Diceros bicornis minor: one gene and its partners. The protein of the gene in region 4 binds, or shares a complex with, the protein of the main gene of each other region. Links are inferred from orthologs where the notes say so. Each region holds a gene or a part of one and is shown on either strand. Other genes may lie near its edges. The genes, in order: BRAT1, INTS4, INTS9 and INTS11.

Region 1 (7,853 bases), on a different chromosome or scaffold from region 4:
AAACGCCCAACAAATGCTCTTCTTACCTTGTTCTAGAAACTGTGAGCCCTGTTACAAGTGCTGGCTCTTCAATCACTGGCGACCCGCCCAGGCTCCATTTCACCCCTGTGGCTCTGTCAGCGGGGCCTGCAGCCTGTGTACAGCCGCGGCACAGGGAGCCCCCGGCACATGGCAAGTGCTCTGGGAAGTTCACAGGCAAGTCCAGAGGCAGCACCATTCCAAGCAACGGGGGGGACTGCACAGTGCCTACCCTCAAGAGACTCCTGTCTGGTTTAGAAGAGATCCCAGCGCAGCAGAGAAAGCACCAGGGAGCCTGGGCCAGGGCTGAGTCTCCTATATGCCGGGAGAGCTTTGCCCCAGTTCTCTCACGAGACTGAAGGCCAAGGCACTGGGGCTAGCTTCTTTCTGTGTCCTCAGAGCCTGACATGTGTAAGGGGCTTAACAAATGCTTATGTGTGTAAGAACGTTTACAGCAGCATTGTTTCTAACAGCAAAAAAGTGAAACAAAGGGGTAAATGCGGGGAAATGGGTCAGTGAAATAGGGGTACCCCCAGGTTAGTTTTTAAAATCATGTTCTTGAAAATGTGTGGATATGGGAAAATGCTAACAACAAATTAAATGGCAAAGGTTACTAAAACTAAACAATATAAATATGATCTCAACCTTTTAAAGTGTATGGAAAAAAGATGCATTGAAAAAAAGATTGGAAGGAAATACATTAAACATTAACTGTGGTTTTCTGTAGGCAGTTAGATTATGGATAATTAAGTTTCCAAATTTTCTTTAATGGGGATGGATTATTTTTACAATCACAACATAAGAAGTCACTTTTTAAAGATGAAGGAGCAGTAACTGAGGCCCGTGGAGATGGCAGGCCTCCCAGGTGAGCAACACTCCGGGCCTTGAGGAACAAGCAGGAAACTTCATCTGCTCCTAGAGAACAGCAGCACGAGCCCCTACTCTGGGTGAACTGTGCAAGCCCTGCTCAGCACTGCGCCCTCAGTGAGAAGGAAGCAAAGTCCCCTCAGTCTGCAACCCTCCAACGGCTTCCTACTGTGCCCTGAATAAATTCAAACTCCTTGCATGGCCTGCAAGGCTCTCCATGGTCAGGCCCATGCCCATGTTCCATCCACGCCCCCTGCCCCTAATGAGATCCCAGCAAGCTCTCTCTGGGGCCCTGGAACACACTGCAGTTTCTCACCTCAGGGCCTTTGCACTTGCTGGTCTCTCTGCTCTCCAATTTTTACCAGACTGCCTGCTTCTTGTAAAAGAGATCAAGGCACGTGTGAGCTCCTCAGAGCTGCTGTTCCTGGCACCCAATGTAAGGCAGCCCTCCCCAGCCCACCTCCCTCACATGGGCCTGTTTTATTTTCTCCATAGCACTTTTCTGACATCTTAATGATCTGCTTATCGCCTTGTTCTCCCCTCGCTCCACGGGAACGCGGCTTATGCATCCACATTGGTATCTCCAGTAGACAGTGCACCCAAAGCACTTGGTAAAGGAACGAGCTGAGAGCCCGCTCGGCCTGACCGGAGGGTTACAGTAACCTTAGGGTTACTTGGGGCACCTCCTCCGGGAAACTTTCTCTGATCACTGCCGGGCACAGCCCTGTTCCCGGAGCCTGGGGCTTCCTCCCTCACTCTTGGGATGGCTCGGGCCGGTCGCCCCGTCCGTTGCCCCCGGCCTCGACTCGGGGTCGTCCCCGGCCCTGGAGGCACGGGGTGGGCGGGCACTTACGCAGTAAGCTCCGTCACCCCGCGGGCCACGGTCGCAGGCCCGGCCTCTCAGGCGCCGAGGCGAGGGCGCAGCGTCCGGGAGGGCTTCCTGGAAGCGGCGGCCTGTGCAACGGCGGGCGAGACCTAGAGGCAGCTGGAGGCTGGCCGAGGGGCGGCGACGCCCGGCCGGCCGCACGCTGGCGGGGGCCCGAGGTCCGCTCTTATGCGGTAACAATATTGGCAGCTGTCACCCGGCGGCCGCCGGCCCTGCGCCCCTTCCTCCGGCCCGCAGACCCGGCGAGCCGGAGGGAGCGACGAGGCCCGCCCGCCCGCGCTTACCGTCTCCGATGCCGACTCCCCGGCGCCCAGCGACATGGCGGTGGCGCTGCCCGGCCGCCCCTCGGCGCCGCGGGCGAGGCTGTCGAGCTCCGGGGCTCCGCAGGCCTCCCGGCCGCCCGCCGCCTCCGGGAATGCCCGCGCGCCGGCCGCGACCCCGCTGCCATAGCAACCGCGCCGGCCCCCACCCCCCACCCCGAGCCCCGGATGTGGCGGACGCCCGGTGAGCCGGGCCGACCTTGCGCCTGTGCTGCGACACCCGCGGGCCGACCGGCAGCGCGCCCGGAGGTGCGGGAGGAGCTGAAACAGCGCAGCAGCCGCGGAGTGGGCCGCGCTCAACCGTTTACAGAGGGCGTCCAGGCCCTTCTCTCGTACACACTCCACGACGAGCCTGTGAGCTAGTCACCAGAGCAGGACGTTAATAAGTATTTATTAGGTTAACGTTGAAAGGGACAAGGGGCTTGTACAGTGTCACAGGCTGCTAGTACTGGACGCCTGGCATTCAGAAAATTATCCTCCCTGATCTCTATCCTAGGTTTTAGGGCTCGGATCTAACAACGGGACAGCAAAAAATAATGAGTGCCCGGCACTCAGTGCATGTCATGAAGATCTTCAGGCGCCCTGGGCTTCAAAGTTCATTTAAATTATTGCTCTTTCTCCTCATACAGGTCTCCAAGGGCATCTACTCTGTCCCCTAACCCTGCTTCATTTTTCCAGCCACCTGACATTTATTATCTATGAGAACATTCCATGTCTAGAATGTAAGCTCCCTGGGGCGGGGGCTTTGTTTTGTCCACGGCTGTACCTCTGTCCCTGGCACACAGCAGGTGCTCAGTCAATAGCTGTTGGGTATCTAGCGAGTCATGCAACTTCTCTGTGCCTGTTTCCTCAGATATAAAGTGGAGAAACGGGTTATTGTGAGGATCAAGTGAGTCAATATCTGTAAAGTGCTTAGTACAGTCGCCCCTTCCAGAGTGAGTGTAATGTGACAGTGTTATTATTACTACATGGTGACTGAATGAATGAGTCCTCTCATCCATGTAGCCTGGTGTAGTAGAAGGAATGCCTAGCAGGTTATTAGTGTTCTAGTTCCACCTCCAACACCTAGTACGGGGTCCATGGCCCTCTTTCCATCAGGTTCCTCATCAGTACAAAATGGGCTGAGGTGCCCAGGGGTGGTCTCCCAGGCTGTCTCCCTACGAGCAGGGAAAACTGAGCTGGTTAGTGGTCAGGAGCCCAGCTTTTACAGTCTGGCCACCAGGGTGGTTTATAAAAGGCAAATCTTACCAGGCCACTCGTCTGCTTAACAACTTCCATTTGCTTCCTCGGGGTATTGTCCACACCGCAGATGAGGGCTTTCAATACCACAACTACCTAAGCACTGGTACCTCCTGCTCCTCTCCCGCTCCTGGTGCCCCGAAAACTCTCTGCCCTTCCTGCTTCTGTTGTTTCACTTGCTTTCATTTAACTGTAGAGACATTACATGTCCACAACCTTGTATCTATCTGCTGTTCTGAATTCTGAAAACCTTTCAAAACTCACTGGCAAAACCTGTTCTGACCTCAACTCATCGGTTGACAAAAATCTGAGCTAAAGTTATTTACAGTGTTTATATTATACATTCCACTTGGAGAGTATATTTCACTGCAGAACTGTTAATGCATTTGAATGTGGCGTGCATCAGCCCCTGCTAGAATTGTAATCCCATATAGAGCATGTATGTACCGTGTAACTTTTCTAAAATCTGAACAATTCTGAACCACTCATCCCCAAAAGTTTCAGGTAAGAAATTGTGGACCTGTATAATAAAATATTCAACTGTGGAGCCAGACTGCCTGGGTTCCGTTCCAAGCTGTGCCAGCCCACTAGCTGTGAGACCTTAGGAGTCTGCCTCTCTGCACCTCAATTTCCTCATCTGAAAGGATGGTAACAGAACCCACCTTCATAGAGCTGCTGCAGAATCACCTGAGTTTATATTAAGTGAAGCACTTAGCACAATGCTACTGTAAGATGTTTTCCCCCACAACTGCCCAATCAGGCAAATATTAGTATCCCCATTTTCACAAGGAGGAATCACAATTCAGGGAAGACAACTGTGCAGTTCAAACCTTTTCACCCAAATAGTTCTAAGGGGTGTGTGTTTGTGTGTCTGTGTGTGTGTGTGTATAAGGGAGGCTGGTTGTCCCAAGTAGTTCCCCCATCAAAGTCTATATTTTTAAAGTTTCCTTTTTATTTTAACACCCATAGGAATCCTCCTTTCCACGTCCTCATATATATGTGGTGTTTCCCCCAATCTTGCTGAAAAACTGACGGTATAGGAAGAGGAGCCTTGTTTTTATCCACTGGTTTTGAGAACCTCCAGCACACAGCCGAAAGCCCCCGAGAACCCAGTTTTTAGGCCAAAGGACAGGAGTTTAGCACAAGCGATGAAGACGCCTCGTTGCAGCACGCGCTTCCCACCCGCCCTGACATGTGATCCCTGGCGGCGGGGCGACGCCCCTTCCGGGAATAGCCCCACCCCGTCCTCCGGAAGCCCCGCCTTCCGGGCGCAATGTGCGCCGGACGCTTGGGCACGTACCACTGAGCGACCCAGTGGGGGTGATGGCTTGGGGCGACCGATTTGGCCCCGGCCTGTCCCCAATGCCTCTCAGTTTGAGCTCGTTCCCCAAGTCTTGGCACTCTGGGCTCTCAGAGTGGCCGCTAGGGGAGCTTTCACCTTTCCCCAAGCCATCCCCGTCCTCTCCCCCTCCGGACCCGGAGGTGGCGCGGTCGGGGCGGGGCCTCGGCGGCGGCGGGGGCGGGGCCTCGGCGACGGACGGGCGCGGAGTGGGTGAGGAGCGTGCTGGGTAGGGTCGCGGTCGCTGTGGCTGACCCCGTGCAGTCGGGGCTTGGGACCTAGGACGGGCGGGGTCGGGAAGCATCCCGGGGCCGGCTCGCATGGGCTGGGTCCTGGCCCGACTGCGGCCGCCGGCCCGCGCCCCGTCTGGACCCTCCGGGCGGCCCCGATCCGCGGCGGGGTTCACAGGGAGGGCTCCTTCCGCAGAGACCTAGCCTCGCCCAGGATGGACAGACGGATGCCCTAGGCCAGGCACACCCACTCCTGACCCCGACAGACAGAGTCACCGCCCCCCCGCGAGAACCCTCCCTGACCACCGGACCGACGGACTTCCCTGTCCCCTCCCAGGCTGGACACGCTGGTGCACACCCCGGCCCGGGAGGGACCGATGGTGGACAGAGCGCCTTCCCCTCCGCGCACACTGCTAGCTGCAGAGTTGTCAGATGCAGACACACTGACCCCAGGAGGGACAGAACAGACAGACACTTCCACCCTGGACTGAGACGCTCTTCCTCTGTGCGCGTGTCTGGCCCCAGAACGTGCACACACCCCTGACTCTGGCCCCGCAGCCTAGGTGAGCATCATGCTGTTCCCCTCCCACCAGAGTTCAAGGTTGGCAGACTTTAAGTTCCTGAGGCCTGATGGTTTACACCAGACTTGTTTCCAACCAGGGTGGCCAGGACTTGGCCCTGCTTGCTCTTGACTGCCTCCAACCCCAACTTAGCTGAGGCTTTGCATCCATCCTGGCAGCTTGGAGTTTCCCTCTGAGGATTGTGATCTTCCAGCTGCCTGGCCCGAGGTGGAAGTTCTGGGGCCTGAGCAAGCGTGGGGGCTGCCTGTGACTAGGGCGGGTGGAGTCTGGCCCTGACGTTTCTTTTGTAGGGATCTCCGGCCTCATCATGGACCCGGAGTGCTCCCGGCTTCTCCCAGCTCTCTGTACTGTTCTGGCGGACCCTAGGCAGCCCGTGGCAGATGACACCTGTTTGGAGAAGCTGCTGGACTGGTTTAAGACGATAAGTGAAGCAGGTAAGGGTGAGGGTGCTCCTGTTGACTGTTTCCCCAGAGGCCAGAGGGTACACGGGGCTCTCTGTCCTAGGGAAGGGGCGTCCATCTGGTGTCCTTCCTTCACATCGGAAAGGTTCAGCCTGGCTAATTGGTGACACATCACACTGAAGCCTGAGGGAATGACCAGGAGAGTTTGAGGTTGAAGTTCTTAGCTGATTCCAGCCTGATTCAGGCCTCCCGTTGGTCAGTTCATGCTAGATGGCTGCAAAAGGCACGGACAAACTTATTTTGTTGTTCTCGTTGCTTTTTTTTGTTTAAGAAATCAGCTTTTCCTTCTGATTATGAAAGTAATACATAGTCTTTAAATAAAACTTGAACAACACAGAGGAGTAAAGAGGAAAATTAAACCACCATCAACATTTTTATTTCCTTCTGACCTTTTTCCCTAACATATCATAAAGCTGTATTTTTCTCATGAAAATGAGGTCACACCATAAATACACTTTGGTGTCTTGCTTTTGCTCTCTTACCATTCTAGTGGGTGTTTTCCCCATGGAACACGTTGATTTTATTGACTGTATGTCACTTGCTGTATGAATGGACCATAATTTATACAGTCACTCCACTATTGTGGGGTGTTTACATATGTTCCTAATGTTCTGTTATTATAAATGACGCCATAATGGCTTTCCTTGTACATAAGTCTTCTCATGTAAATGTTTGTTTTCTTGGCTGATAATTGCCTTAGGATAGATGCCATGTTGTTAATTTCTGCTGTTTGTTGTTTACTTTGGTTTACCCTATTCTCTTATTTGCTTTTGAGTTGAATATTTCAGTCTTTCTCTTTTTTCTAAAATATGCATTGACAGCTATACATTTCTTTGAAAGTGTTGCTTTAGCTACACCCTGCAAGTTTTACTGTGCAGTATTTTTATTGTAACTTAGTTCAGATATTTCATGCTTTTCATTATGATTTTTTTTTCACCCACAAATTATTTAAAAGGTTATCTTTTAGATTTACAGTATGGAGTTTTTTTCAGTCTTTTTATTATTGGTTTTTAATTTATTTCGTTGGAATTAGAAAACGTCTGTATTTTGATTCTTTTATATCTTGAGGCTTTTATTGCGGCATAGTACACAGACAAATTTTGCAAATGTTCTGTAGATTTTGCTATATGGTATTGTTTTTTGGTGTTTGTAGGCTCCTCAAGGGTGGCCTAGTTCGTAGTCAAATTTTAACAATTATTTTTGAACAGCTTTGTTTGCGATATAATTAACATACCATGGAACTGACCCACTTAAAGTGTATAATTCAATGGTTTTTAGTAAATTCGAAGGGTTGTGCAACCATCGCCACAATGTAATTTTGCAGCATTTTCATCCCCTCGAAAGAAGCCTGGTGCCCATTAGCAGTTAATCTCTGTTCCCTCCTCCCCCAGCGTGTACTCAGTTTTCCTCGGTGTTCTACGTGATGGAAGGAACGTGGTCTCTACACTAGTTCCTTAGTTCAAGTTTATGTTGTTCAAGCCTGCTGTGTTCTTGCTCATTAGTTTGCTTAATTGTTTCTGAGAGATGTGTGAAAATCTTACACTACGATTGTGGAGGCAACAATTTTTCTTTGAAATTCTGTATTTTTTTTTCTTCATATACTTTGAGTTTGGGTTAGGTGTGTGCAGGCTTAGACTCATGTCTTCTGGGATTTTCTCTTTGAACAGTGACTTTCTCCCTAAAGCACTGCTAACGCTCTTGGCTGTCAAGTCGGTTTTGTCTGATATCACTCTTGCTGCCGCAGCTTTTCTAAAATGAGAATTTGCCCACTACCCTCTCAGCCCGTTACTCTCGGCCTTTCTGTGTTGTCATACGTCATCGCGTCTTATAAACAGACTGTTGCCTGCCTTTGGTTCTTAATTTAATTTGAGCATCGCTTTCTTTTAACAGACCATTTAATCTCTTTCATTTG
Region 2 (6,995 bases), on a different chromosome or scaffold from region 4:
CGTTACACATAATGGGTGCCAAAAAGTTCATGTAAAAGGGTACCTGTCACTCCAGGGCTTCAGTCAGGCCCTGATGGGGTATAAAAATCATAACATAAGATAAATGTAATCAATAATTTTCCTTAACACTTGATGCACCATTTTGATATCCTGAACAACCACCTCTTTACAAATTTATACTTCTACAGAGAAGAAATTAGGATTATTCTAGACAGGAATAAATAGTATGGCATGATAAAAAAGACTAAGGGCTTTGAAGTCAGAGGAACTGGGGTTCAATAACCACTTACTAGCTAGGGGAGGCTTTTATAAAAGGGAATACAATACCTATATCACAGGGATATTGGAAAAGTATAATGTCTTTACTGTACAAGACATAATAAGCACTAGATACATATCAGTTCTCTCTCCCTCATCTTCATAGCACAGGAAAGAGAAAAGAAGCACTAAGAACTCATTTCATCACTCTATGGTAACCATTCATGCAGAATGAAGTGAAGAAATGAGCTCTTCTCTTAAAATCCTTACCCATTTCCATCCTATTCCACACAAATTCAGTCTTCAGTGTTATCTGGGCTGCAAGTAGCTCAAAAGCTAGGGAAGATTTTTTTTCCCTAGAGAGTGTAAGGAGGAGGACAAACGGATACCTGCCATCATTGAATCATCAATAACATTTTAGTGAGCCAGGCCCTATGGTCTATCCAGGGGACACAGAGATGAACCAGGCATTATCTCTGCCCTCAAGGAGCTCAGACCCGTGGTGAGATACATACACTGGTAATTATAGTAGCACTGAGGGATAAGTACAAATAGATGAGTACCACAGAGTGCTACAGAAGCAGGGGAGGAAGACACTGAACTCCCACCAAGATTTCAGTTGGATCTTGAAGCAAAAATATAAGTCCACTGGGTGGAGAACAAAAAGAAAGGGAAGAATGACATCCATTCTATGTAAAAGAGACAAAAGATACAAAAGTTTGGAGAGGTGCAAACACGTGGCATGCTGGAGGAGGGGTGAGTAGTCTTAGGAAGTGGGAACCACAGACCGTTGGGAAGAAAGGAAGTGACGCTACACAACAATGTGAATGTATTTAATGCCCCTGAACTGTACATTTCAAAATGATTAAAATGGTAAATTTTATGTTATGCATATTTTACCACAAATTAAAAAAAAAAAAAAAAGTGGGCAAGGGAAACAGCCAGGAAATCTCAGAAAGCAAACCACAGAAGGGAGAACTCTGTGAAGTTAGAAAAGGTTTCCTCAATCTTGGCTCATTCTAAAAGCTCAGGAAAACTAATTTCACATAAAAAGGAGCAACAAAAAAGTATCATGGTTAAATCTCAATCAAAGTTAATTCAAGAAAAAACAAGAATAAGGAGCAGACTAACTTCCCTACAGACAATGGGAATATGCTACAAAGATGTGTCTACAAAACAAAAAAGAAAGTCATACAGCTGGAAGGAATACTGTCAAATCACAAAGGGCTAGGGAGTTTGTCTAGGGTGTTTTTAAGAAAAGGAACTGCAAGAGAGGAAGACTTGACCTGTCAATGCAATTATGTCTCTGTACTATAATGACAGATATGCTGTTCTGTCTCCCCCACTAGCCTGTGAGCTCCTAAGGGGCAGGGACCCTAATGCATATTGGACTTTGTAGCTCAACACCTTTCACCATACCTGATACACAGTAACCACTCATTTACTTAATAAACTCTCCTTGAAGGAATGAATGAAATGTTTAAGGACCAGTTTCCTGCTGGATGACCTAAGTTTTGCTATTCTACAAGGCTAAGGACCTACGGGTGGTCTATGGATCTAAGGAAGCTGCTGATCCACTGGCATCAATTGGGGGCTGGTCAGAAATAGATTATTGACTCATCTCCCCTGCCAGATTTACTGAGTAGAATCTACATTTTAACAAGATCCCCAGGTGATGTGTATACACATACAGTCTGAGAAGCTCGACAGAAGGGATGTCTTGGGAGCAACCTCTACTTTAGCAACATCTTTGAGGAGACACATGGAGAATCACTGCTCTGACAGGGGCTCCTCCCACCAGTCCTTAAACAACTCTAAAGGAGGAAGGTATTACCCTCCTTCCTCGGTGAGCTGTTCCACCAATGGAGAGTTCTACCCCTATGAAGCCTGTGATCCTCGACTGCTTTGACTGAGTCTTGAGGATTTCTATAGACTCCTCTTCCAATCCCTTAGAGCCTTACATACAGCCAACTTGTCCCTGAGCCCTTTTTCTGTAACGGGAGTTAGGAGGGGCTCTGCCACTAACTGGCTCTGTGTCCTCGTACCCCTCCAGAAGCCTCAAAATCCACATCTGTAAAATGAGGATGCTAATGTAATCTGAATAAAATGAGATAACGGATATTTTTCTAAATTGTAAAGTGCTATTTGTTTCTTCTAAGTTTAAAAAAAAAAAGTGTCAGGGCCAGCCCCGCGGCTTAGCGGTTGAGTACGCGCGCTCCGCTGCTGGCAGCCCGGGTTCGGATCCCAGGCGTGCAGCGACGCACCGCTTCTCCAGCCATGCTGAGGCCGAGTATCACATAAAGCACCTAGAAGGATCTGCAACTATGACATACAACAATCTACTGGGGCTTTGGGGGGGGGGAATAAATAAATAAAGTTTAAAAAAAAGTGTCAGACTGCACATATTAATAATAATGACAACAGTAGCGGCAAACGGACACGCCCACTAAAATGTAGTCTCAGAGAGCCTATCAAAATAGGCTGCACTCAACCCAGATTTGTGGCGTCTGTTCTGGCAAAATGCCTGTAGCGTGGATAACCTTCCCCTACCCCGGACCGATTCAGGACTTTTCCTTTTGGAGCTTACCTGAACTACCTTAGTGAATTCTTCGTACACCCGCTTCTTCAGGTGCGCCGCCATGGCTGCCCCGCGGACCCTCTCAGCTTCCGTACTCGACAAGGGAGGCGGGGCGGAGGAATCCGGAAATCCCGCCCAAGCCGAAGGAGCCCGCCACGGTCCCACAAGGCAGCGGGGCTCCGGGAAAGAGAGGCCGCTTCCTGCTGCTCGACTACCTTGGCAGTACGGCAGGATTTGGCCGCCTACGCCTCGCACACCGGGGGCACGAAAACTAGAGCGTAGCGCGGAGGGGGCGGGGCCTCTGTCGGGAGACGGGACTGACAGGGCAGATGAGCCAATGAGAGCTTCCGGGAGCTTGCTGGTGGCCTCAGAGTGGTTGAGAGACCGGCACGGAACAGAGCGAGGGGAGGGAGGAAATACGCAGTAAAGGCAAATTTTGGAGCTGCGTGAGGATCTTGTCTCTCGAGATAACAGAAAGAGGCCGAGCCGGCGTTTCCGTCATCCTTTGCTGTTCACAGCGTTTGCTGCTTGTAGCTTCCCTGAGCTCTCCTATTGAGCAAGCCATGCGCCATCCCTCTCCTGGTCTGGGGTGCTTTTCTCTGCTCGCTCGCTCCAGTTGTTCAAAAGCTACCCATTCCTTAAGCAATCAACCCCTCCTCTGATAGCCATGGTAGAGTGGAAAGAATCCTGAGGCCATGAGTCAAGCAGCAAAGCTTCAGACTACGACTGGCATTTAATGAACAAGCAGCCTCAACTACAAATGCGCTGATAACAGCTAACCCGACAAAGATGTAGTGACAATAGAATAAAATAATGCAGAAACATTTCGCAGACTGTAAAGTGTGGTTCACGGGTTAGTGTTAATAAATCCAAGGTCAAGTTTTACATCCTTCTTTAAACTTGAGCTGTTCATTGTTTTTTTCTTTCAAAAGAGTTAATGCGGGATGCTTTAAAAAAGCGGCAGGCTGTGGTACGTACAGAAGACCCAAAAACGAATAAAAGATGTCATTACCCTCAAGGTCCTACAGTCTAACTGGGAAGAGAGACACCCAAACTGATAATGAGAGAGCAACCAAAGTGTGCTGGATAACAGAGGAATGCGGTTCAAACAGACCTAACTTCTTCAGGATGCCTCAGGAAAGTTTTACAGAGGAAACGATTTTTAATCTGGCTTCAAAATAGTGAATTTTCCAGAAAGAAAAGAATCCCAAATCACAGAGTCTACGGCATATACAAATGTTCCAGTGAAATGAAAAGCACTTAGTAAACAGTAACTTAGCCATCAGCAAATGTTAGCAGCTATTATTGTTGTTATTACCATATTCTATCAAATCTAAGCTGCCAGCAATTGTAAAACAAACCATAATTTTATGTAATACATTTTTTAAATGCTGGAATTAAAAACAATGGTTTCTTACTACTTATATTTGTTATGTATACTTACCAAAAGAGCTCTTTTAAACTTATTTAGACATAGATTTGTGTCCTATGTCATAGTGGTGTGTTTCCATGCCTTTTTGTGCACATAAAAACTTTTCATTTCAATGCAAATTATAGGGTAATCTCTTTGAAGATACATCAAATGGCAATTAAAGACCATACATGCACAGAGCTCAGTTGAAGTGATAACAACATGCACTGCCATGACCCAGTCTACACATGAACTATTGGCCAAAAGCAATCTTAAGATGTATCCTGATTTCAGAGATGTTAAACATGCACCTAAGCTCTCTCACTCCAGTTGTTCAAAGTATTATCATCATTACTATTAGATACATGGCTGCAGGAAGGAGTCTGGTGCACTCAGAAAACCAAAGGAGGAGCTGGCCTGGTGGCACAGAGGTTAAGTACACGCACTTCGCTGCAGTGGCGGGGGGTTCGCAGGGTCAGATCGCTGGTGTGCACTGACGCGCTGCTAGTCAAGCCATGCTGTGGTGGCATCCCATATAAAATAGAAGAAGATGGGCACAGATGTTAGCCCAAGGCCAATAAAAAAGAGGAGGATTGGCATCGGATGTTAGCACAGGGCTGATCTTCCTCACCAGGGGAAAAAAAAAGAAAACCAAAGGAAATTCAGTTCCTATTGAGAGTAAAGTGCATACAGGCAACAGGGAGGAGCAATGGAAATAAAATTGAGAAGCTGAGGCCAGACTGGTACAGAAACAAGAGTATTCCGTTATTTAATTCTGAAATGAAAAACTGTCTTGATTGAATTGATGACATTTTCCTTTGACCTTCATTACTGCACATGAGAATACAAGGAGGTACCCCAGTGAATCCCTTAGGCTTCAAATAGGGTCTTCCCTGTCCCTATTGTATAACAGCAACCCAACTTCCCCTTGGAAATTGGGGTCAGTCACTCAGACTGGTATCGTAAGTCCTTCTCTGCCTGTTGGCTCAGCAAGAGCCCCAAATGACCAGGGGCAGGCTCGTTACATGTTCCAACGTAATGGAACAATAACTGTGTTTTTTAGTGGAACTGTTCCTCCCTTGGGGACTAAGTACTCCAAACCCACTGACCCTAAGAATTCATAAATGAGTTCTTAGGTGTAAAAGTGACAAGAACCACTCCTAACTCCACTCCTTAGTTCCCAGATCCATGTATTCTAACTGTGGGAGAAACAGTACTATATTTTAGCTGTTGGTATAAGGCATATATCACAAACATGTAAGACAGCACCCCATAGTCACAATGTGTTGTCTCTCAGCCAGTACCATAACTGTCTCCAAAAGGTCACTACACTGTTTTGGGGGCAGGCAGTGGCATAGTGGTTAATTTTGCATGCTCCACTTTGGCAGCCCGGGGTTCACGGGTTTGGATCCAGGGCACAGACCTACACACCGCTCATCAAGCCACACTGTGGTGGTGTCCCACATATGCAGTAGAGGAAGATTGGCATAGATGTTGCTTAGGGCCAATCTTCCTCAAAAAAAAAATCACTACACTATTTTTATCATAACAGCTATATCTAAGTGATGGCGTACCTAGCAAGACCAACAAGCTTCTTTGCTGTAATTCTTGTACCATAAAATAAGCTCTTTAGTCAGAAACAATGTATGAAATACCATAAAAATGAATAAGGTATCCATGAATGGTATTGCTGGCATAAACATTATGGTTAGGTGTATTAGTCAGGGTTCTCCAGGAAAATAGAACAAATAGGTCATATATAGATATTAGGGTACTATAATAGAATACCAGAGACTGAGTGACTTATAAACAACAGAAATTTATTTCTCACAGTTCTGGAGGCTGGGAAGTCCAAGATCAAGGCGCAGGCAGATTCAGTGTCTGGTGAGAGCTCACCTCCTGGTTCATAGACAGCTTCTCACTGTGTCCTCACATGGCAGAAGAAGCAAGAGAGCTCTCTGGGATCTCTGTTATAAGGACACTAATCCCATACATGAGGGCTCCACCCTCATGACCTAATCACCTCCCAAAGGCCCCACCTCCTAATACCATCACATTGAGGGTTAGGTTTTCAACATATGAATTGAGGGGGCCCACAAATATTCAGTCTAAGGCAGTAGGAAAGTCAAATCTGAGTCTGGAATATGTATCTATTCCTGTGAGGATAAATCACCACACCCTCACTGATGGAAAAGATCCAGTGTGTAGCAGAATGATTGCAAAAATGGCCCCAATTCTCCCCCTCTCTGTATGTATACCCCTTGAAATGTAGCTTTGAAGTTGCTTATATTAAGAGATGTAATCTGTATCACCACCCTTTGGATTGGGCTGGCCTTGTGCCTGGCCAGTAGAATGTAGCAGAAGTGATGGTGTGCTAGTTTTGAGCCTAGGCCTCAAGGTCCATCCACATACCAATTCCCCAGGCCTTTTGCTTGATTTTGGGACCCTATCATTGCCATGAGAATAAGTCCAACCTAGTCTGCTGAAGAGTGAGTGACCACATGGAACAAAGCCAAGTTGACCCAGCTGAGGACATCTTAGACCAGCCCCACCCCAGCTGATCCACCATCTGACTACAGATGCATGAGTAAGCCCAGCTAAGACCAGAAGAACTGCCCAATCTGTAAGCTTATGAGAAATAATTAATGTTTGTAGTCTTAAGGCATTAAGTTTGGGGATCAGGGGGTTGTCATGTAGTCAGACAGTCCCTCAGCTACTAAGTTGACTTGCCATACTTCCATAGATTCA
Region 3 (7,795 bases), on a different chromosome or scaffold from region 4:
ACTTTGATAATCCTTCAGAAATTATTTATTCAACTACTATTTAGTGGCATCACACTATATGTCAGGCCCTGGGAATACACAGAGTTTACATGAGGGAGGACGGACATAAAACCAATAATCACAAGTGTAACAAAACGGAAGTGTGCCATGGAAGTATATAACAGGGGTACCTAATTCAAGGAGACTTCGAAGAAGTGCTATTTAAAGAGAGATCTGAAATATATGAAGAAATTAGGCAGGCAAAAAAGTGTTGTAGGCAATGGAACATATTTAAAATCCTAGAGGCAAACGAGAGTAGGGTGAGTTCAAGGTACTGGAAGACGTGCAATATAATTGAAACAAGGAGACCAAGCAAGATGAGGGCTAGACACAAGCCTGGAGAGGTAGGCAGGGTCATATTCTACAGAACCAAGTAAGCCAAGTTAAGAATTGTAAGACTTTATCCTAAGGGCAAAGGAAGCTACTGAGGGTTTTATGAAACTCTGCAATTTAAAACAACTTCTGAGATGCAGAGTAGAGAATAGATTGGAGAGGGTTAACACTGAATGCAGAGAGACCAGTTAGACGATCTTGTTGAATTCCAAGTGTCATGTGAAAAGAGCCCATACAAAGGCAGTATTAGTGGGACAGGAGAGAAACAGATCTATTCAAGAACAGAAGTAGAATCAACAAGATGTAGTCATAGATTGTACATGGGAAGGGTATTTTGGAAGTCATAATCTCAAAAACAAGAAAGTGCTCAAAAAAATGTATTTCTGCATTTCACGATTATAAATGTAAAATATGGCTTAGTACATATTCCTGAAGCAGTACACAAAGTTAAAAATTTTAGGCCCTGGGAGGATTTATTCCAACTCTATGGGAGGCACGACACACAGAAGTCTAACTTAGTGAGCGTCAATGTTTTTGAAACCACTTTGCTATGTTGATACAAATTCCACATTATAGATCATCTATCAACTACCAAATGAGTTTTAGTATGTAATACGTGGCTTGAAAGTAAAGAGGGAGGGAGTATAGATAGAACACTTTCTCTTTCTCTGAGGTATCTTTTGGTTCTTAAAGGAAAAAAAAGTTTCTACTTTTTTCCCTTCCATGTCCTTTATTGAGGACATATGGTCTGTGTTCCAACCATTTAGGAGCCAAGCTCTTTTGCTTTTATAAGCTGAACTGTCTTCATGAACAGCCCTAGCCTACTCATCCTTCTTATCAGTTCAACAGTTACCCTTCCAGGAAGTTGTCTCTGACTCCCCCCACCCCCCCAGTCATCATCAATTCCCCAAATCCTGAACATGCCTTTCATTTACCATGAATACAGTGAATTATAATTCTGGCTTACTTTTCTATCTTCTGCAGTAGACTGCATGCTTCTTTAGGGCAAGGGCGTTGACTTTCAATTCTGCATTCTTAAATGTTTCACACAACCACCCAGAATCAAACTGATACTCTCAAGGTTTACTGATCTGTACCCTTTCCCTTACACAAACGTCTTTAAATGGAGACAGTTTTGTAGTTGAATCTACTTTTAATACATTCTCTGATTCCTCAGAAAACAGCTGACACTTTGCAGAGTATATGCCTGTAGCATTTATGTGTGCTCTGGAAAAGCATGTTCAAATAATTAAGAAAATAAACCTTTTGTTTTTGTATAAAAATTACAGAAAGTATGGGGCCAGCCCCAGGGCATAGTGGTTAAGTTCTCGCACTCTATTTCAGCAGCCCAGGGTTTGGGGGTTTGGATCCTGGACAGACCTACACACCGCTCCTCAAGCCATGCTGCGGCAGCATCCCACATATAAACAATAGAGGAAGATTGGCACAGATGTTAGCTCAGGGCCAATCTTCCCCACCAAAAAAAAAAAAAACAGGTACAGAAAGTAAAGCTTGACAATACGTGGCCACAGGAACATGGATTTTTAAAAGGTTGAGAACCAGCATTTCACACCTGCTTTTCTACTCTTAATTATGCTATTACTAATTCCATAGAGTTGGAATAAACTAGTTAGATCTGTGTGCACGAGAGTAAAATGGCTCAAAATAAAGGTCTGAGAAGCTTTCCTATAAGTCAAGCGTTTGAGTTTTGAGATGAAAAGACTTCTCTAGGTATACTGGTATGCTCCATCTAACCTTGGCTCATGCACTCGCTACAGCCCTAGACTGGAATGCCTCAACACTTCCTCTCAGCCCATCTTATACAGGGTTGGTCAAATTCTCCAAGATCACACCCTGACCTCCTCTGAATTCCAAGGGCAGTTAGGAGTCTAAAGAAGAAAATTTAATAAGTGATAACGCTCTGCCAAATTATTTTCTACTCTGCTCACATTTAACCTAAGCCTTCTCTACAACGGTAGAGGGAAACGATAATGAAGGGCCAATCGCGTGGACAGAAGTTAACAACCTATTGTAACACTCACGTGGCAGCTGAGAAACAAGTCAAACTTAGTTCAAGTCCAACCTTAGTTCCTAGGTGAAGAAAGGTGATAGTCAACCTCTTAGCTACCAAAGGGACCCGCCAAGGGATGAATAAGATCTCCTGGCAATCGCGTGCGGGGGAGTGTGAGGTGGGATTCAAAAAGCCTCAACAACCAACAGCAGCTTTCCTCAGTCCACCCCACTTTCTAGTTCCCTAACTGCCACCCCTCCTCCACGACGGTACCCTTCTCAAGGTGGAAACGACGAAGTCCAAAAGGATATGGCATCACCTTTGCCCTGTGACCTAGATGCGAAAACTCACCAGTTTCATATTGGACTTTTGGTTGTTTAACTCCAGTCACCCGACTCCCTCAAACCCAGAAAGCGTCTTCCGGTTCAATCTCTACCACCGGCCCACCGAGAGCATCGCGGGACACGCAGTCTTTCTTCCCTACGCCCCCTTCCCGGGGCATCATGGGAAATGTAGTCATCTCTCCAAGCATCATGGGACCTGTGGTCATCTTTCCTTTTCCTCTCTTTCCTCTCCGAACACCGCCTTCCGTCAGCTCAAATTCTTCCCTGCCGCCAATTCATCTTCCCTCTCCACCCTAGCGTGATATCATGTCCCTCTTCTGGGCCTGGGACCCATGGTATTCTGGGATGTGTAGTTCCCAGGGCTCTGGCGCCCCTGTCTCCTCCTCCCTTTGGGGAGGCGGATGGGCGCGGGACTTGCCGGGAGCTGTAGTTCCCTGGGGCCTCTGGACGCCAAGTCTCGCCCTTTTACTCAAGGGAGGCAGAACTACAACTCCCAGGGCCGCCCGGCTGCAGCAGGTGGGAGAGGGGCTGTTGCTATCAATATGGCGGTTGTCAGCCAGACAAAGACAGTCAGTCTGATGTGATTGAGACAAGGGAGGTTTTCAGGGGTAGACTGGGAGATAGGGGCCTCCCCTCCCCCTTCTCCTCTTCCTGCGCCGGCCTCAACCCCTCCCCAGACCCATCCCGACGAGCGCCCCACGCGGAAGACACCCCTCCCCCTCCCGTTTTCCCCTCCTCCCTACCTCAGCCCTTCGTACTGGGACGTTGGGGAGGGGGCTGTGCCGGGCGGAGAGAACTCAGCAAGGATTCTGAGGTGAGTCGAGCGGTTTTGAAGCCGGACTACCTCAAGTCTCTCTCCTCACTTCTTTCTCTTCACTTTTTTTTTTTTTTTGGAGAGGTTTTGGGGGGAAAGTAAGTGGGCTGGGGATGGGTCTCTTAAGCGGCCCGATTGAGAGAAGGGAGGAAGCGGGGGGCTTCCTAGTGAGTAACACGGACGCAGGGTATGGGGTGGGGTAGTTTGTGGGGGGCGGTAATTGAAAGGCGTCGGCTGCTCCCCAACTCTTTTCTCCTGGTTTCCTGCACTATGGGCGCAAGGTTTGAATCCTGGAGGTGGGGGTCTCCTGTTTGGAGTTTGGGAAACTGTGAGGTGAATTTGAGGTGTGTGGGTTTGTTTGGGGTGTATAACTGTGTGCTAAACTGTGTGACGTGTACTTGTGTGATATGTTAGTCTTGAATAAATGTCTATAGATAGGAAGTTAGATAGCTGGAGCCATAGCTTTTAACTGGGCCTGGGCAGAGAAGTGTGCATGAGGTCCGGCTGCTGGCCCTTCGGGCTGGCGACGTGGTGCGGGGTAGCTGGGGTGAGCAACTCGTTTGTGTCCTGCTGCCCGCTCCCACTACTTCTCCCCGCCCCCTCCCCGGCCAGATCTCCGCCCCAAACTCCGGGCAGGAGATGTGTGGAGATGGATTTTTGCATCCTTAAGTCGGTAGATAGGTGGGAAAGGAAAAGTGTTCTTAATATTTTATTCCGGAACCGTGTTTTGGTTACACTATTGGGGCTACTTTGAAAGGAGTCCTCCACCCACCCTCACCCCGAAATAGTAGGTAGAGGTATCTCGTCGTCTCGTGTTAAACATATTAAACATTACTTAAGATTCGGGGGCGTGGGGTAGGGGTCGGGAGTGCTGACATGTGTGTGTGTCTCTGTGTGTCTACTAGAGACAGAATGACTGTTGTGTATCTTGAGATAGGGCGACTTATTTTCGTAGTAGGAAAAACGGTTGGAAATTATTGGGGCGGGGGAGTAGCTGAAAGGCGCTTCTTGTATTTTTCTTCTACCCCACCCTGTTCTGTCTCGCATTTGTCTGAAAGCTGGTATGGAAGAGTGAGGAAGCACTGGGTGAGTGTAGGGGAGAATGCAGTTGGCATTAAAGATACTATACTATATAAAGTTGAATGGCATAAAGTGCTATTTTTATTTACCCTGAAGCTGTAAAAAACCTTATGTATCCTATAGGGTAGATTGATGTCGCTAGTTTATTTTTCTGGGATCCTCCAAGTATAGAAACCTCTGCCTTCTCTCCCTCCCTTCCTTCCTTCCTTCCCTTCTTCCTTCCTTCAGTCCTTCCTTTCTTTCTTGGCATGGTACATTTCTCTTCCTGGATGGACATAATGCCTCTTGTGTATGTTTGTTTAGTTTCTGCTAATATTGTTGTGCTTTTTTGTGGTTCTACTATAAAATGCATCATCAGATGAAAAGGATTTGCATTTGTTTTTATTTTGCATTTATGTTTCAGGTGATTATCACGAATCAGGATTGCAGAGCTTTGCGTTAAACTTATTTTAAAATCACACAACTAAGTTGTTAGATCTAGTTGAATTATGTTTATAAAACCAAGTTCGGAAAATCTGAATTCTGATTTTTTTTCTCAAGTTTCAATTAGAGTTATAAAGGGAAGAGGATTGCAACATCTCTTGTTTCTCACAGTCTTTAATATTTAATAACATTACACCAGGAGAATTTAGGATCATGTTTTGTACTTCCCTTAGTCTGAAATAACGTTTTTCAGTAACCCTTCTTCTGTGACAGTTTTTAGTGTAATGGACTTTTAAATAACTAGAGAAATTGGCATAATTTCTTGTTTGACTATTGAAAATTTAATGTATTTACATATTCTGCTCCAAACTTATCAATTCTTGAACCTATCAGTAAAGGACCTTAGGTTTCATGAAAACTGAAAGTGATGTAGATACAGCGTGTAATTTTATGATATGTTTTATAACCTTTGATTTGAAATTTCTGTGGTTCATTCACACAGATAAGCTAACTATAAGCATGAGGTAGCGTATATATTTAGATTGACCTGAATAAAAAAAAATTGATGTCGTCTGAATCTCGAATTTAGAATATAGAATATGTTGGTACAAAGCTGAGCCTTTAGTTTGTTATAGACTAGGTTTGTTTTAACCTTCTGTGTCAGCTTGAAACATTACTTTGCAAAAACTGGAGAAAAATCCTATGTAACTATATAACAGTGTTTTGTTTTGTTTTTTGCTGAAAGATATTCTGTTAGACATAGAGTTTTAAAATGTTCAATATTTATTTTAGAAATTAAAAAACTAAAATTTTGTTGAGTTGGAAAAATATAAGAGTATTTTCTGTTCCACTCAACGTTACCTCAGATTTTTTGTCTGTTTTCTTCTATGGAAATGCAAAGTTACTTACTGAGCAAAGCTTTCATTAAACTTTTTCTGACTACTAGTCTGGTTGAAATCATTAAAGTAAACGAAATATATTCCTTGCATTCATTGAAGGTGATTCTGTTGCATGTTAAGCACTGAGCATTAAAATGATGTAAAGCCTTTACTGCAGGTTAAAGCATAAAACATTCTCAGCATGTGGAAGTCATATGGTTTACGAAAAAAGTAGAAAATCAGGGCATTGGTGCCTGTCCAGCTTAAAATTTCATCCCGTAACTGTGAAAGACGTATTTATTTTAATACAGTTGCTTCTAAAAATGCTGCCTGTATTATGGGAAGTTGAAAATCCAAACAGTTTTTAACCAATCTGTTGCTAGTTTAGTGTACTGCATATCCTGGCTACTGTGGTTGCAAATGTGCATCAAGGAGCCTTTAGGGGTCAGCTTTATGTTGAATGTCTTTAGTGAGGCTTCAATTTCACTGCTGTACGAACAGATTTCAGTCATCTTAGTGCAAATCCTTAGTTGAAGCATCACTAATAGAAACTTAATAGCTCACTATTGGTAAGTTATAAAATATATTGCAACAAATCTCTCATTGTTTCATCATTTAAAAAAATAGAAGTAACCAATTTATGGCAATTTTTGTGGCAAGTATGGAGTGGAATGGAATTGCTTATTTCAGTAGATGTTGAACACATTAGGAATATTTATGCTTAATTTGTTCATTTTGGGTCTTTTGTGTGTTATATTCAGTCCATTCCACTTTTAATGTTTCAGAAAGCTTCCATGTTTCCTGTAAAACCACATTTACTTTTTCTGTTCATTTCTTTACAGCTCTTCCTTCAATTACTTTTGTATTCAGATCTTTAAACTTGAATTATTTCTCTTGGGAATTAGAAATTTATCACAGGATGTCATTTTTCATAAATTAAAGTTGGTGTACCACTCAACTTTTTAAAAACGTAAACATTTATAAACTTGTAAGTGCTGAGTGAAAATCTGTCGGGTTTGTTTTATGAACCTGCTTTATTTAGGTTTTTTGGCTTCCAGAGTTAATTTTATAGCTCCCTTTGCTATTTGGCTAGGTTTTTCTCTTAACTGTTGGTTTTTACTTCTCAATTTAGTAGAACTTCAATTTATAAAAAAGTTGTTTTAAGTAGAAATCACAGCTTGTCTAGAGTGTCATGTATGTACGTTCACGTATGCACTCACATATATAAAGCGCCTTTATGTTTGTTTATAGCTGAAATTGGTAAATATCTATCAGACATGCAACCTGTAAAAAAGGAATCTGAACCACAAATAACAGGAGACTCTCAGCAGTGGCTCAAGCTAGAAACCAGAGAACCACCAGCACATTTTACACCATTATTTTAACAGATTCTGCCAAAATCTATTTCTTTCAAAATGGAAGCTATTGGGATTAAAATGTTTCTCAAAGTAGTATTAAGTAATATGTGACTTAGATTCCTAGGTGTGGCTATCTCCCCAGATGACCCTTACTGGTCTTAGAGCCCATCATAAGTACAGAGTAAAGATTTTTCCAAGTGATTATTTGATGTAAAACTTTTAGTTAGAGTCTACTTAAACATAATCTAGTGCTTCAGGTAACTTGTTTTTCTTGATTTTAGATGAAACAAGTTGGATATTTACCATAACATTGTCTTGGACACTTTCCAAGAGCATTTAGTTACTGGAAGGCCCTGGCTTTAGCATAGTTTTACGCTTACAGTGGTAATAAGGTTGAAGTTACAGTAAGTTTTTCCAATGGTTATTATAATTCTAATGCAGCATTTTACAAATCCTTGACTTGGGCTGTAAGGATAGCGTTTTTTTTGTTTTTTTACATTTACAAACAAAAGGAG
Region 4 (7,397 bases):
ATGACGTTCTTGCCCGCAATGGAGACCAGGATGCAGCTTCGGCCCACATCCTGGCCGGCCCCTGCACAGGAGAGTGAGTTAAGAGGCGCTGCCTGCCCTTCTCCCTTCCCCCCGGCCCCTCCCCTGCTCCTGCAAGCAATGGCCCCAGCCCCAAGGCCAAGGCCCAGCCACCCGCCCCAGACCCCACGGGGCGCCCTGGGTCCCTGGCCCAGTAGAGCCCTCAGGAGACTGGGGAAATGGCCCCAGGGATGCAGTGTGGACGACGTGTGAGCCAAGAAGCATCACCACCTCCACATGCGGGCAGGCAAGGGACAAAGCGTCAAGGCCACCAAGCGAGCTCTAGTCCACATGCGCCTCTGCCACTACTGCCCAGGGTCAGGTAGAAGAAGCCCCTGACCTCTCAAGGTCACCGCCTTGACACTGAGTCGTGGGTGCTAGACTGTGGTCTCAGCACCAACAGAGGCAAGCCGGGGCTCTGTGGAAACTCACCATCCCTCCTGAAACCTCGGCTGGGGTCACATCTGGGCTGTGATGCCCCCTCTCCCAGGACCTGCCCCCAAGAGGGGTCAGGCGCCTCCTGGTGGTGCCACTGCAGAGGGACACCTGTGTGGCTTTAGCCCTCAGCCCAGGGGAAACATGGCCCCAGCTGTCCAGCGATGGCCAACTATGGTGGCCACAATGCAGACACCTCACCCCAGGGCACATGGGCGACACGAGCTCACCACCGTGCCCCTCACGGCGGCCCCCCAGCCCAGACCGTGACTTAAGTCCCATCCACATTCCTGACCTCCAAGCCCTGCCCAGATGCTCCAGGCAGTGAAACCTCCCCCTGGCAGGGCACATCCTGGCCACCTCATATGGCCATCGGTCACCTCCTCTGGAGTCTGGGGACCCAGAAGGAAAGGGACACGGTCTTGCAAGCCCTGATGACACCAAATCACCTGGTCTCCATCTTGAACCCTACCAGCCTCCCTCTGCCGGCCACCTGAACCTTCAGGTAGCACCACACACACCAGGGTGACCAGGCCACGGCCCAGAGTGGGACATGGGCTGGTCCTCGAGAAGCTTCAGTCACCTGTGAAAACAGCAGATGACACCAGCCAAGAGCTTCGCCTGCCTGCCTCAAGCAGCCCAGCCACAGGTGGCAGCCTCCAGGTCTCTGACAGGCCTGCTGCTGTGCCCACTAGGACGTGCCTCCCTGAGGGCAGGATCTCAGCTGTCTGCCACCTGCTGCACCTCCAGCCCAGGAGTCATGCCTGGCTCAGAGACCCTCCAAACATTTGTGAGAGGGGAAGGGCCACTCCTCTTTACAGATGACGTGGAGCCACAGAAGACACAGGATTGACCCACGGGCACATGGCTCCTAAGCATGGGGCCAGAGACCGCGTTCTAGATTTCAGAGCCCAGCTCTTAGGCGCTGGCTGCCTGGTCCCAACAGCACCCACAACAATCCCAGGGAGCAGAGAGAGTGGCTGAACTGGGCAAAAGACGTGGGGGACAGAGTCGAGGGCACACAAGAGGGGGACAGGACTCAGGAGAAGACAAGGGAGACACTCTGTCTGCGGGGAGCTGACGATCCAGGGCAAGGAGACAAACGACAACCACGTAGGTAGGACACACGCTGAGGGCGTCAGGTGGAGATCAGCACCATGGAGAAAAGTAACGCAGGAAAGGGGACACAGAAACTTCCAAAACCACGACAGGCAACTCCTCCCTGAGAAGACAACTTGCGAGCAGAGTGGAGAGAGACAGCCAAGATGGGAGGAGCAGCTGTGCAAAGGCCCCGGGAGTGACCCGGCAAGACTCTCCAAATCTGGCCCAGGTGACCAGGGAGCCCTCAAGGCAGAAACTGGTGAAGGGAGAGAGTGGAGCAGAAGTGTTTCTGCTTTGATGGCGCTGTGGCTGAGCGACCTTTGGGGTGCACCTAAATGCAGATTTGGGGTAAGAGAACAGTAAGACAATAGGACTGTTTAAGGACAGTGAGTGGCGAGAAGAGGGGCCACATGGGAAAGGGGCTGGTAGGAGGGTCCCACAGAAGCCCCTGGAGAGAAGCCAGGGGCAGGAGAGGGCACGGGGCGGTGGTGACCCCGTACCAACAGCTAGGAGAGGCCATGGGGGTGATGATGCGTATAGCAGCATGGAACGTGCAATCTGACGCAGCAGGCCAGGGGCAGGGGCATTCATCACGGTTGTCAACAGCTCAATATCCACACGAAGGGCAGGGTGGGCTATTCCAGGGAAGACCTCACACCCTGAGAAAGCACGTGGAACCGTGTGGGACATCTGTACAGGAAGATGCTGGCAACACAGGGCCCAGTGAAGGAAGCAGGCTCCCAACCAGTGCATGCCATGCATGCACCAACAACGCCCAGAGACGCCGGGAGGGCTGGCGACCTACACGATCACCCTAGTTGTTACTAGGACCCTGGATTCTGAGTGGTCTTTCCTCCTTTGTACTGTCTTGTACTGCTCGGGCTTTTAAAAGTGCGCATCTATACCTTTTACAAAAAGCAAAACAATTTTTTTAACGTGGCAAAAATCAAGTAAAACAAGGACTGAACCGAGGGTGGGTCTCCAGACTGCGCACGTGGGAGGCTGCAGGTGACCGGGCGGGGACGGACAGAGCGGGTGGCAGGAGAGCGAGCGGTGAGGGCAGAGGCGCCAAGGGGCCTGGCGCGCCAGCCGCGCGCGAAGTAAGCCGAGCGCGGGCGCGGCGAGGACGGAGACCCTGTGCCTCCACGGCACGCCGTCCAGGGGCCAGGCCCGGGGAGGGCTGCTCGGGCGATCCCGTCCTCCCTTCACGGCCGGGAAGCGGGCCGGCCCGGCCCGACCCCGAGCCCACCCGGCGCGCTCCCCGGCCCCTCCACCGGCCGGCCCCCGCCCGCCCCGCGCCCCACTCACCCAGGGGTGTGACCCTGATGTCGGGCATCCTGCCGTCCGCGCCCCCGGCCCCTCGCCTCTGCGTTCCCAGTCAACCCCACGAACCCAGCCGCCGAGCGCGACCCGCGACGACGCACTGCTCAGGCGCAGCCCCGAGGCGCTGGCTTCCGGTGTGCCCGCCGGAAACACGGGCCCGCGCTCCGGGCCTCCTGATTGGGCGGCCGGCAACCAATCCCGGGAGGCGGCGCGGAGGCCGGGGGCGGGGCGCTGGGTTCCCTGGCGGCGGCGGCGGCGGACGTGAGCGGCGGCGGCGGCGGCGGCGGACGTGAGCGGCGGCGGCGGCGGCGGCGGACGTGAGCGGCGGCGGCGGCGGCGGCGGACGTGGGCGGCGGCGCACGTGAGCGGCGGCGGCGGCGGGGGAACCGAGCTCAACCGAACCGGCTGGGCGGGCCTGGGCATGTCCGAGGAGCTAGGCGCGGGACCCCGGGGCGGGAGGGGGCGGCCGAGGACCTGGCTCCCGCGCTGACCCGGACCCCGGGCCCCTGCCCGGTCCCCGGGCCTCCAGCTGGAGCAGGACCCGCTCAGGACCGGGGACCTGCCCGGTGCCGCTTGGAGCCCCCTTCCCGGAAGAGACTTGAAGGACTTCCTGGGCAGGGCTCCGTTCCCACCCCCTAATTCTGGGGTGCCGGGGTGGGTGTCCCCTTCTCTTGGGGGTGTCCAGTCTGCTGGCAGCACAGGGTTCGGATGCTCAGGCCACCCTCGCGCCGAGCCCTGACCTTGGGGCCGTGAATTAGCCCCTGGGAGAGGCTCGGCGGTGCCCTGCATCCTCACCTTCCCAGAGCTGGCCAGCTGCCAGTGCCCAGCCGCATGGTCACTGCCCTTCCTGTTGTTTCCAAGCTCTGAAAGGCCCCTGGCAGCCCCTGTTGGCTGCTGGCTCTGCGCAGGAACTCCAAGCCCACAGGATGTCTGGCGGCTAGGAAGGTAGCCCTGAGGGCCTCAGAGACCATCTGCTTGGTGGACGCAGAACCGAGGCCCAGAGCAAGGGGAGGGGTGTGCCAGAAGTGTCCATAGCACCATCTTCCTGAGGCCGGGCACAGCCGACTCACGTACCTGAAGACAGGGTGAGCTTGCTCTGGGGTCTCCGCCTGATGCCAGACATGCAGCCCAGCCTGTGGGGCCTGCAGGGCCTCAGCACCTGCCAGGCCCCACCAGACACTCCCAGCAGCCTGAGCGGTGGGCAGGACAGGGTGTGCTGGCCCATTTTCCCCAGAGATGAAGGACCAGGTGTCAGGATGGCGAGTGACCTACCCGCAGAGCAGAAGGCAGAAGCTGCCCAGGTACCAGGTGTCCTGCTCTTGGCTGGGGCTCTCGTCACAGCTTGGGCGGCCTCCCTCCCTTGCCAGGTGTCCCACAGGGCTCCAGGCACCAAGGGCACAGGAGCACCCGGGCCCAGTGGGGTGAGAGCTCATCCTGGACGCCAGGTCCCCTGGGCCCGTCGCGTGCTGGCCCTGGGAGCTCAGGGAGGCAGGGGCTGGGGTGCCCAATGGCACCCACTGAACACAGCGCTTGGATGTTTGTGGAGTGAGTGTATGAATGTGAGCAGAATTCAGAGCAGGACTCTAGCCTGTGGCACTTCCGGAAGGTTCTCTGGGGCTAAGGGAGGACCTTGTGGATGTTTTCAGAGTGTGGAAAGATCTTTGGTCCATCCGCCCTTCTGTGTGGGACATGTACGGTTTCAGTAAGAGTGAAAAGACTGGTGTCTGTCCATCCATCCAGCAAATGCTGACCTTGCAGCCTCTGCTCTGGCTTTCAGGATGCAGCAGTGAGCAAGGAATGGTGTGGCCCGCCCCACCACCCTCCCCGGCCCTCCCACCTCACTCCACTGTCTTTTTTTCCATTGTGTTTACCTTCTGTTACCTACCCTGCTGGAATTTCCTGTCTTTGTTATTGTCTCACACCCACCACACTAGAATGTCACCCTGACAAGACAGGGCTGTTTGTCTCACTCATGGTGCACCTGAGTACCTGGAAGAGGGCCTGGCTCTAGGCAGGGACCAAGCAAATATGTTCCAGCTAGTAAAAACAGACACACTCTAGTGAGAGAGACAAACGATAAACAAATAAGCAAGAAACCGTGAGTTGGGATGCTACAAGCAAGATGCAACAGAGTGGTGTGGCAAAGCCTGCCTGACAAGGAGAGGCCTTGCTAAGCTGTCTAGGCACGTGTTCCGGGCAAAGGGTCTGTGGAGTCAGGTTGGTGTGTCTGAGACCGTGTGGCCCAAGGAAGATGAGCTCCTGGGGAGGAGGGGCTGACCTGGGGATGGGGCTTCCTGTGGGGAGCAAGAGGATCCCAGCTGGTTCTTTCCACCGGACCTGCTTCCACCCTCAAGATAACAATCTGAGGAGTGAGATGACTCAGTGAGAAAGCCCCTCATCCTGGCTCCCCTTGTGTTTCAGTTCGTATTGAAAAATGGACGACTTGGAGTCGGACTTCAATCTGAAAGTTGTCTTGGTGAGTTTCAAGCAGTGTCTCGACGAGAAGGAAGAGGTGCTGCTGGACCACTACCTCGCAGGCTGGAGGGGGCTGGTCAGGTGCGTGCAAGGGGCCACTGCCCTGCAGGGCCAGCCCAAAGGCGGGGCTTTCCTGGCCACACTTCCCATGTGCGAGACCTGCAGTCTGCACGGCACGTGGATGCACCAGGCTCCTGCCTGCCCAGGGCCGGTCAGCTGTTCTCACTTGCTGCCTCTGCCTCCAGGTGGACATGTGCCCCAGGAGGCAGGAGGTGGTCTTCCCTGCACCCCAGGCTAAGCTCCTGCTTCCCTTCTTGCAGGTTCCTGAACAGTCTGGGCACCATCTTCTCGTTTGTCTCCAAGGACGTGGTGACGAAGCTGCAGATCATGGAGCGCCTGTGCAGCAGCCCCCAGCGGGAGCACTACAGAAGCCTGCAGTCCATGGTGGCCTATGAGGTGGGCAACCAGCTGGTGGACCTGGAGCGGCGCTCGCACCACGCCGACTCAGGCTGCCGGACGGTGCTCCGGCTGCACCGCGCCCTGCGCTGGCTGCAGCTCTTCCTGGAAGGTCTGCGCACCAGCCCCGAGGACGCGCGCACTGCCACGCTCTGCACTGACTCCTACAATGCCTCGCTGGCTGCCTACCACCCCTGGATCATCCGCCGGGCTGTCACTGTGGCTTTCTGCACGCTTCCCACACGCAAGGTCTTCCTGGAGGCCATGAACGTGGGGTCCCCCGAGCAGGCTGTGGAGATGCTAGGGGAGGCCCTGCCCTTCATTGAGCATGTCTACAACATCTGCCAGAAGCTCTACGCCGAGCACGCTCTGCTGGACCTGCCCTAGGGCCGGCGGGCCCAGCAGGGCAGGCTTCCCCTCCTCCAGAGCTGGGCTGGGGCAACCAGGGCCCGTGAGTCCCACCACGGACCTTTCTGGGTGCCCCAAGAACGGGAAGACCACTGTCCGCACGAGCCAAGCCTGTTGGGAGCCACGGACCAAGTGTGGCCTGTTCTGGTCAGAGGAGGCAGGCGCTGGCCGTCTGCTCCACGCCCGTCCTCTTGCTCTGCCCAATGGCATCTTAGCTTTACCCTCTGCCAGGTGACATGAGTGTCTAACAGGCCTCACCTGGTGCGTGAAGTGCAGAGAGCAGGATCAGTGTGTGTGCAAAGGCCAGAGAAGCTGCCCCCACCTGTGAGTCAAGTCTGTGAGATGGGGTGAGGTCACAGGTCCCTGGAGTACACAGACTCTGTCCTGGTCGCCAGCCGACGACGCTGGTGCATGTCCTTCCCAGGCCCGGGATGTGGTGTCTGTGCCTAGGTGGGCTGCCTCAGGCCCCTCCACACCAGGCTGGCTGTCCCCAGGGCAGGGAGAGAATCCCTGGGCAGCAGTTGGCACTGCAGGCTCCCTCCCTACCCCTCACCTACTTGTTACTAGGGGCACATGTGTCCTCGGCAGTGACAGTGGGAGCTGAGGCCCTGAGTCAAGGCCTCCCTGCCTTTGTAGCCCTCTACACACGTCAGCTGTCCTCTGCAGCCACGCTGTGGCCCCGAGCTCCTCCAGGCATCTGCCTGTGAGTCTGCACCGCATAGGCCCGAAGCCCCCGGGAGCCCATGACTCCACTGGGCCAATGCCGACCTCTCCCCCTCCCAGCGTCCAGCTAGGTACTGTGTTCCCCTTCCTGCCCCCTCCCCACAGAGCTCAGGAGACCCAGGATGACATGGCACAGGGAGGGGGCCTGGACTCTTTTGCCTAGCTGAGAGGCTGGTGGACAGCCACACCCAGCCCGGCCATCACTCAGCATTCAGGGGCTGGCCTCTACCTTTGGCTCTTCACTCTGAGCCCAGGACCTTGGGTGCCACGGAGACAGTGCCCACCGGGCAGCAGTTGTGCTTGAGTGCAAGCTTTCAGGGACCCTTGGGACCTGTACCACTGGCGATGGCTTTTCCAGCGTAAATAAATCACAAGTACAGAGCCAGGGGCTGTGCTTCAGGACGCAGACTGGGTGTGCC

What was found.
Region 1: the proteins of INTS11 (region 4) and BRAT1 are in contact, whole or in part, in a cryo-EM structure (PDB 8UIB), measured with the Homo sapiens proteins. The link is inferred for Diceros bicornis minor from reciprocal best matches to the Homo sapiens genes INTS11 and BRAT1. Residues at the interface, in NP_060341.2 of Homo sapiens: Leu9, Val15, Gly16, Lys27, Met35, His36, Met37, Gly38, Phe39, Arg43, Asp47, Tyr50, Thr58, Asp59, Asp62, His70, Leu71, Asp72, His73, Asp87, Gly88, Gln97, Pro101, Ile102, Glu105, Arg108, Lys109, Val112, Asp113, Lys114; in NP_689956.2 of Homo sapiens: Asp25, Thr27, Cys28, Glu30, Lys31, Asp34, Pro117, Ser156, Ser157, Leu158, Phe159, Ser162, Lys358, Ser359, Cys366, Arg367, Arg424, Arg427, Thr465, Lys468, Lys469, Trp514, Glu515, Asp518, Ser519, Glu522, Tyr560, Ser564, Ser604, Glu605.
Region 2: the proteins of INTS11 (region 4) and INTS4 are in contact, whole or in part, in a cryo-EM structure (PDB 7BFP), measured with the Homo sapiens proteins. The link is inferred for Diceros bicornis minor from reciprocal best matches to the Homo sapiens genes INTS11 and INTS4. Residues at the interface, in NP_060341.2 of Homo sapiens: Pro183, Trp191, Lys194, Asp212, Gln288, Gln400, Gln404, Lys462, Met465, Ala466, Leu469; in NP_291025.3 of Homo sapiens: Leu159, Asp161, Thr162, Arg167, Tyr203, Gln207, Asp244, Ser292, Gly294, Trp296, Arg299, Lys323, Met326, Ser327, Asp328.
Region 3: the proteins of INTS11 (region 4) and INTS9 are in contact, whole or in part, in a cryo-EM structure (PDB 8RC4), measured with the Homo sapiens proteins. The link is inferred for Diceros bicornis minor from reciprocal best matches to the Homo sapiens genes INTS11 and INTS9. Residues at the interface, in NP_060341.2 of Homo sapiens: His94, Gln97, Ala98, His137, Leu138, His139, Gln140, Thr141, Lys274, His277, Tyr278, Lys280, Leu281, Phe282, Ile283, Pro284, Trp285, Arg291, Phe294, Ser449, Pro450, Ser451, Ile452, Pro453, Val454, Gly455, Ile456, Ser457, Leu458, Leu461; in NP_060720.2 of Homo sapiens: Glu127, Gly198, Tyr199, Ser200, Gln201, Lys202, Tyr231, Glu338, Phe339, Ile342, Phe343, Glu345, Gln352, Lys354, Val355, Tyr356, Leu357, Pro358, Glu359, Pro360, Pro361, Arg511, Arg512, Tyr513, Glu514, Lys515, Ile516, Glu517, Ile518, Met519.

The regions. Positions count from the first base shown.
Region 1 is NC_080765.1:11,888,642-11,896,494, reverse strand, and holds the start of BRAT1 (BRCA1-associated ATM activator 1), read left to right. Parts: upstream 1-4,846; 5' UTR 4,847-4,882; exon of another isoform or gene 4,883-4,898; intron 4,899-4,923; exon of another isoform or gene 4,924-5,236; 5' UTR 5,237-5,462; intron 5,463-5,559; 5' UTR 5,560-5,787; coding exon 5,788-5,914; intron 5,915-7,853. UniProt on the Homo sapiens protein: Component of a multiprotein complex required for the assembly of the RNA endonuclease module of the integrator complex.
Region 2 is NC_080746.1:53,437,350-53,444,344, reverse strand, and holds the start of INTS4 (integrator complex subunit 4), read right to left. Parts: upstream 3,008-6,995; 5' UTR 2,900-3,007; coding exon 2,846-2,899; intron 1-2,845. UniProt on the Homo sapiens protein: Component of the integrator complex, a multiprotein complex that terminates RNA polymerase II (Pol II) transcription in the promoter-proximal region of genes.
Region 3 is NC_080750.1:64,983,685-64,991,479, reverse strand, and holds the start of INTS9 (integrator complex subunit 9), read right to left. Parts: upstream 3,007-7,795; 5' UTR 2,744-3,006; coding exon 2,735-2,743; intron 1-2,734. UniProt on the Homo sapiens protein: Component of the integrator complex, a multiprotein complex that terminates RNA polymerase II (Pol II) transcription in the promoter-proximal region of genes.
Region 4 is NC_080752.1:22,289,201-22,296,597, forward strand, and holds the start of INTS11 (integrator complex subunit 11), read right to left. Parts: upstream 3,009-7,397; 5' UTR 2,930-3,008; coding exon 2,902-2,929; intron 62-2,901; coding exon 1-61. Other genes in the region: CPTP (ceramide-1-phosphate transfer protein), read left to right, coding at 5,351-5,472, 5,712-6,234.